Linked DNA regions of Caenorhabditis elegans. The protein of the gene in region 2 interacts with the protein of the main gene of each other region in a pairwise test. Each region holds a gene or a part of one and is shown on either strand. Other genes may lie near its edges.

Evidence for each region.
Region 1: the proteins of npp-19 (region 2) and edc-4 interact in a two-hybrid assay, tested with the Caenorhabditis elegans proteins (one large-scale study listed by BioGRID).

The regions. Positions count from the first base shown.
Region 1 is NC_003279.8:3,348,162-3,351,915, forward strand, and holds the start of edc-4 (FHA domain-containing protein), read right to left. Parts: upstream 1,731-3,754; coding exon 1,681-1,730; intron 1,604-1,680; coding exon 1,456-1,603; intron 460-1,455; coding exon 331-459; intron 286-330; coding exon 173-285; intron 111-172; coding exon 1-110.
Region 2 is NC_003280.10:10,796,795-10,800,548, reverse strand, and holds the start of npp-19 (Nucleoporin NUP35), read left to right. Parts: upstream 1-2,069; 5' UTR 2,070-2,072; coding exon 2,073-2,146; intron 2,147-2,212; coding exon 2,213-2,286; intron 2,287-2,335; coding exon 2,336-2,608; intron 2,609-2,658; coding exon 2,659-3,050; intron 3,051-3,100; coding exon 3,101-3,285; intron 3,286-3,464; coding exon 3,465-3,531; intron 3,532-3,574; coding exon 3,575-3,655; 3' UTR 3,656-3,754.

The DNA of each region.
Region 1 (3,754 bases), on a different chromosome or scaffold from region 2:
CATCATCCTCATCTTCACCCTGAATATACGGACACCACGAGAGTTTCGGTTGATCCTCGTTTCCCTGTGATTGATATGACGGCCAATTCACGATCGACAGGTATTTCTTTCTGAAAATAATTGAAATTCGATTTTTCTGGATTTTTTTTTCCAATTTTGTAGAATAACTAACGGATCGCATCTGTCAGACACCTCAAATACTACAAGTGAGAGGTCGGCGTTGAGCACGGCGAGGTATTTGTGATGTTGGGCGAAGGCAAGGTCGATTGTACGGAATGGGAAGTCCTGAAGCAATTTTTAAATTAAAAAATCAAAATTTGGCTTTTAAACCTTAAAACGGTGCCTTTGCTTTGTTTGCAAATTGATAAGGTTCATGGATTCACCGACAGACTCGTGAATTGAGCGGAATCCGACGATTGGTCCGTTTGACGTCAAAATTCTCCCGCGTAGATATTGAATCTGAAATAAAAAAATGTATTTAAATTCTGTGTTTTTTTTTTAAATTTACTTTAAAAAAGGAGTATCGTCAATGTGGGAAATTGTTTTAAAATGTAGTATTTGTATTCAAACTTCCAATTATTGCGAAAGAAAAACGGGAAAAATCCGTTAATATTCAGCATTTAACCGTTGAAATCGACGAAAGTGGCTGAATTTGAATTTCGCGCGCATTTGAAACCTAGGCCACTACACGATTTCTAGGCCATTTTCGTTCAACGAAATATTGATTTAAATGTATTTATTTCGAACTTTAATTTGTTTTCTTTCTTAGAAAGATTCGATTGATCCTCGTGGCAAAAATTTTGTCAAAAAAAAAATTGTCAAAATTTCGAAAAAAAAGAGCCAAATTTTGCTAAAATCTGAAATTTCGCACACTTTTCTTTGTCACAGCCGCTGGATTTTAGTTTTTCTGAAATTATCAGCCTTTAATCCTTATTTTGGTTATTTATCTCGCGGAAATTCGTTGATTGGGACAACTTTTAGGCCGATAGGCATCCAATTTTGATCATTTTTGGAATCCTATCGGCCAAAAAGTTGTCTCAATCAACGAATTTCCGCGAGATAAATTACTAAAATAAGGATTAAAGGGTGATAATTTCAGAAAAACTCAAATCCAGCGGCTGTGACAAAGAAAAGTGTGCGAAATTTCAGATTTTAGCAAAATTTGGCTCTTTTTTTTGAAATTTTGACCGGCCATAAAAAATTTTTGGAAAGTTTTTGTGAAGTCTCATTATGAAATTCGTTGGTTTTGGACCAGTTTTAGTCTATTTGAGCAAAATACCCAGAAACTCTACTCTCCCTTTAAATTTACATTTTCGACGATTTTTCTGACTTAAACTGCTGAATGTTAGCGGATTTTTCCCGTTTTTCTTTTGCAATAATTGGAAGTTTGAGTACAAATACTATATTTTTAAACAATTTTCCCATTGACGATTCTTAATTCTTTAATTCTCTTACATCTCCCTTGTGATCCATAATAACTTTTGTGTGCGCATTCGACGAATCCCGTTCTCGCCCGTTGTCAACGTCCGATGGCGCGTTCAACTGAACGGTCACATTATTGCCGATTTCGAAGCCAATCGACGACTTTTCTCTCGATATAGTGCTGTAAATCATTTGAATTTTTGAATTTCCATACAGGAAAACGATAAATAAATCGATATTCGTCCTGGCCCAACTCACTATTTCTCCACAACGACGTCTGGCGACTGCAAACCGTGTGAATCGACCATCGGAATACCCTGAAAACTTGGAAACCTTGATTTTTAATCAAAAATTATTAAATTCGGAACATTAAAACTGGTTAAAACCGAAAAAATTAGCAGAGACGCCGAGAGAACAACAAAAAAACACTTGCAAACAAGTGAAAGTGTTTCTGCAAATGTACACCGTGACGACAAATTGCGGACTGAGAACTCTCGATGGAAAGGAGACGGAGAAACGTGGGAATTAGAAATGTGAGGGAATAGATAACTTTCAAAGCTGAAAAGTGTATTTTGAACAGCGAAATATTAGTAATATAATAGTAACTCATTTGAGCCAACAATATTCAAACTTTTTAATTGAAATTCACAATGATTTTTTCTGGAAAAGTCACAGGTTCGTTTCAGGCATTCTCAAATTGTGGGGTCTCATTTATTTAATTAAAAATTTAAATAAATATTCAAGTATATACTTTTTACTTAAGTAAAAATATTTATTCTCAAATTCGCACCGAAGCTAGGGGGAAAACCCCTACTAGAGTTCAATATTCATGGTTTGTCCCTGCGATTTGACAGCTTCTCCATGCTTGTTCTTGAATCCGGCACGAAGCATCTCCACCTCATCCCCTTTATTCGGATTCTGACCTTTGCTCTTCGAGCCCAATTTTTGCATTTGGCTCATCTTTCGGCGAAATAAATTTTTTGATTTTAAAGTTCATATGTGGGAGTTGGATTAGCCACGTGGATATTTTCGGGAGTTCAGGGTCACGTTCACGGGATCATCATGTTTTAAAAATATTTATTCCCCCATTTTTACAGAATTTCACAAATTTTTTCTGTATTTTCAGAGGAAAAATTGGTTTTAGTTGTCACTGAACGTTCTGAACAGAGAAAAATTTCAGAAATACGGTAATAGGTCTCGAAGCGACCGAATTTTTTACATTGCAAAAGACAGCGCGCCTTTAAGGAGTACTGTAAAAAAAATCGAAAGATATGTGAAAATATTTTTCATTAGTATTACGGGAATACAAAATGCTGAGAATGCATATTGCGCAACATATTTGACGCGCAAAATATCTCGTAGCGAAAACTACAGTAATTCTTTAAATGACTACTGTAGCGTTTGGGTCGATTTATCGGCTCGATTTTTGAAATTTTTTGAAGTAAAAGATGATAGTAAGAGATGATAGTAAGAGAGTAAGAGAGTAAAAGATGATGATGGATTATTACTGCTACTAATGGAAAAAAATAATTTCAAAAATCGAGCCGATAAATCGACCCAAACGCTACAGTAGTCATTTAGAGAATTACTGTAGTTTTCGCTTCGAGATATTTTTCGCGTAAAATCTGTTGTGCAATACGCATTCTCAGAATTTTGTGTTCCCGTAATATGTAAACATTTTTAGGAAACGGGAGACCAACTAGAAAAAATCTGAAAATCCAGAGGTCACGAGAAATTGTGAACTACAGTACTCTTTAAAGGTACACACTTTTTTGAATTTATGAAATTGGGAGCTCTGAGACTGCAAAACCGCAAAAATTTACATCTGGGCAATATTATGGTAACTCATGCCTATCCACAAATGCCTGTCTCCCTGCTTTTTTTGCCCAAAAACTATGCGCCAAAATTTAAGACAACAATGACCACACAGAGAGCGAGTGAGAAAGAGGAGAGAGAGTACATCAAAAAACTAGACAATCATCCCACAGGTTAAAAAAAAGTTCTAACACTTTCGATTACGTCTCACTATATTCCCTCTTTTGTTCGGTCAAAGACTATCCAAATTTTGAAAAATAGAATCTATGAAATCCCCTCTTGATCCGATCTCTTTTTGAACACACACACACGTATCGACACTTTTTGGCCTCCCGATTTTTTTCTAAGTACACTTTTTTTTGAAAAGCAGGCCTACCTACAATACCTACGACTGAATTTTGCTTGCCTATCAGACCTACGCTTGCCTTGTACCTGCCTAAAAGACTTAGGTATGTCTTGTGCCTGTCTACAATACCTAGGCTTGTCTTGTCCCTGCCTGCAATACCTACGCCTGTGT
Region 2 (3,754 bases):
AGTGTTGTAAAGGAGCAACTTTGTCTTAAATATAGAATTTACAATTAATATTAATTTCGGTGGCCTGAGACAAAATGTGATTATGAAAATGTTGAGCTTTCAATTCTATTAGCGCTGCACACGTTTCCATTTTTAGAACTCATTAAAAATCTCAAAAGCATTGAGAAGAGATAGAGAAAAAAGAAAACATCATCATCATCATCAACACATCCTGTAGAGTGCTTTTAAAAGGAAAGAAGAGAGGAAGAAAAATGTGAAAAAGAAGCGTCGAGAGCAACTTGTTGAGTGAGTGAGGGGGGCACAGAAGGATCACATCCAATTAGGATTGAATGAATGCTGTCGTACACACAAGAAAGTGGAATGGAACGATGAGTAGAATAAAAAAAGAAAAATGATGGAAAGGGATGCACTTGGGACACATTGCCGAAAAAAAAACGAATCGTTGCTATAATGTTCTTCCGCTAGTCTTCATAGATCCCGTTGCCAGGTGACCTCGTCTCCAAAAACTTTCTTAAATTTCGAAATCGGAGAATGTGTACTCCACGAGAAGAAGAGTGTGCGAAAATTGCAAATTTTGCAACCTCCGCACGGTTATGAGAATGAGAGCTCAATGAACCTTGCGGAGGTTGCAAAATCTGCAAGTTCCGCACGGTTATGTGGGTGTGGCCAATACCATCGTTTTCTATTCTCAATTTCTGTTATTACGTGGTAGTCTAAAGATGAAAGTTTTCGGGTCTCACCACGCTGAAATTGGGTTACTGTAACTGGACCAATATTGTGCCATTTTTAATATTATATTCAAATTCTTGACAGCAATTTTCGATTAAATCTGAAAATTATGATACTATGCTACCCGTAAATGGAGACGAGTTACAGTAACTCGGCGTGGCGAGACCTAAGATTTTACGAAATTTTCCCAATTTTGACGTCTACGTAATAATTCCCTCTATCCCAAAATTTGTTTTGTAACAGTACGGAAATTGTAATTTCCGTACGGTTTTATGGGAATCACAGTTTGAAAGTTTCAGTTCAAAAATCAAAATCTCATCTTCTAAGAGGCGGGGCGAAAACACCAAATTTGACGCGCAAGTTTGACTACATCATCAGGTCGCCACTTCTGCTCCAGTCAGAACCAACCACATTTTCTGAAAATAAATTACATCCGGTTCGGTCCGAAAACTAATATTAAATACAATTTTCATTCAATTCATCATCTTTTGGTTTTTTTTCTTTCTCATTTTGACCAACCCGCAAATATTATACGACACAGGGGGCTATATAGTCGTGCGCGACGAAACATTTTTCTTTCCCAAAAAAGGAATGAATTCTCATTTTATTTGATGAAGAGGCGGGAAGAAGCTCTCCGAACGTTGTGCTCTGTGTGGTCAACAAAAAAAGGTCGACGACACAGAAAAGGAATTTAATTAAATGGGGGACCCCGTCGTCGTGCATTTCTCAATTTTCTCCGTTTTTTTTTGCAATTAAAACGAGGAGGAGTGAGAAGAAACGAGTGGTGCTCGTTGAAATTTGAAAACGAAAATTAGACGAGGGAGTAGGTCAAAGGGAAATAAAAACAAAAACATCTGAAATGTGTAATTAAATTTCTAGAATTTTTTAGAATTCAATATTTTATGGATAGGTATGTACTATAGGGGTCGGCGGTATTATACAGTAACCCATACACGAATTTCACTTTTTTCAGTGTCTAGTGTTGAAGAAAAAAAATCAAAGTTCAAACAGAAAATCGACTTCATCAAAATTACAAAACATCCGATCAGAGAAAAAAAATTTTCTCTTTATTTCCCGCAGAAAACCTCCCAGCAAACTTTCACCACAAAAACCCTATTTTAAACTCCCTCCATTTTCAAGTCCGCAATTGCGCGTAGCTTTGCGTGTTTTGTCGTTGCGGACTTTGATTTTTCAAACAAAAATGTTTTTTCTTGGAACTTTTCGAACCTGTTTTCCACTTTAAAAAAGCGGTATTTTTCAATTCTTTCTTTATTTTAAATTTGAAAAACTTGTTTATTGCTTAAATTTTTAATTAAAAAGCATTTTATTTCGAAATTCAGGCCATGTTCTCGCATCTTAACCAAAATACATCCGGAAGGCATAACTCAATGGATCTCAACAATTCTAGTATTTCAAAGTGAGTAATTTGTTTCTTATTTTGCAAAAAAAAAACCAGTTTTTAATACTAAAAATCTAATTTTAGCTTCGGGACACCAGTTGAACAGTCTACGCCGGCACTTCTTTTCGGAAAGCGAAAGGCAACTGTTCCATCTTCGTGTAAGTAAAGTTTATCTTAAGTTTTCTCAAAAATATGATAATTATTTAGACACCGCTAGCCCGCTCAACACTGCATCGGCACCATGTTCGGATATTTTCGCTGTTTCTGCACCGGCAGTGCCGCAGCATTTGAAGGATACACCGGGCTCTAAATCAGTTCATTGGTCTCCATCTTTGGTGCAATCTGGTGAAAAGTCGGCGGCACAAACACAGAATACACCTGCCAACTTGTCTTTCGGAGGAAATTCATCATTTTCGGCGCCGACAAAGCCAGCTCCTCAGTCGATTCAGACATCATCTTTCGGTGGTCAAGCGATGCATGGTTAGAATTTACATTTTTTCGCGAATATTTAAAATAAAATTGATTTTCAGCACCACCTCTTCGATCTCTTCGCGACAAAGTTGAACCAGCGAAAAAGATCTCCAGACGAAATACATTCACTGCCAGATCAACACCACTTTCCACTCCAATCACTCAACGAGTCACATCCAGGTTGGCTGAAGCAGAAGAACAACCAATGGAAGAAGAAGCCGACGCAGCTGATACCTGGGTCACTGTTTTTGGATTTCAGCCAAGCCAAGTGTCGATTTTGTTGAATTTATTCTCGCGGCACGGGGAAGTAGTTAGTCATCAGACTCCATCAAAAGGAAACTTCATACATATGCGCTATTCGTGTGTCACACACGCTCAACAAGCTATTTCTCGAAACGGAACTCTCCTCGATCAGGATACATTTATTGGAGTCGTTCAGTGCACAAATAAGGTAAGTAAAAAGGATATATTTATTTTTTATTTTAATTTTAAAATTTACAGGACGTGATCAACGGCTCAGCATCCGGAATTGTTGCTCGATCATCTAACATTGCTGCAGCTGCAAACCGATCTGCTTCCATGTATAACTCATTTGTGGAGAACGATATGGCCGATCAATCAGTTAATCACAATGAGAACAGTGTGCTCAACTCGTCGAATGTTTTTGATGCAAATAACTCGCTCAAGTATGATTAGAAATTTTTAGTAAAAAATTCATAAAAATCTAAATTTTATACTTGAATCTGCTAAAGCGAAGTTTGTAGTTTGTAGTCTAGCGCTACTCCACTTTGAAAATGTGAAAAAGAAAAAGTTAATTTTTCACAATTCAATTAATATTTCCACAAAAAATTGTTTATGTTTTCAGTTCTTCTCGTATTTCCGTCCGTTCTGGTGTCGGAATGAGACCATTGGCTGCCGATCAAAGAACAAACGTAAGCATTTCATTGATTCAATCCTTCTAACCAATTAAAAAAGATTTTACAGGGAACCCCATCGGTTCGCAAGGCACCTGACGGATTGCTCAACAAGTTCTGGAACACGATCGGACTCAACTAATCTTTTTGCTCATTGGAAATATCGCCCATTTTTCTGTTTTATTTCACCATTTTTTTCTTTTGTTGTGTATCCTTCTTTTTCGAATTTCTGAAAACAGTT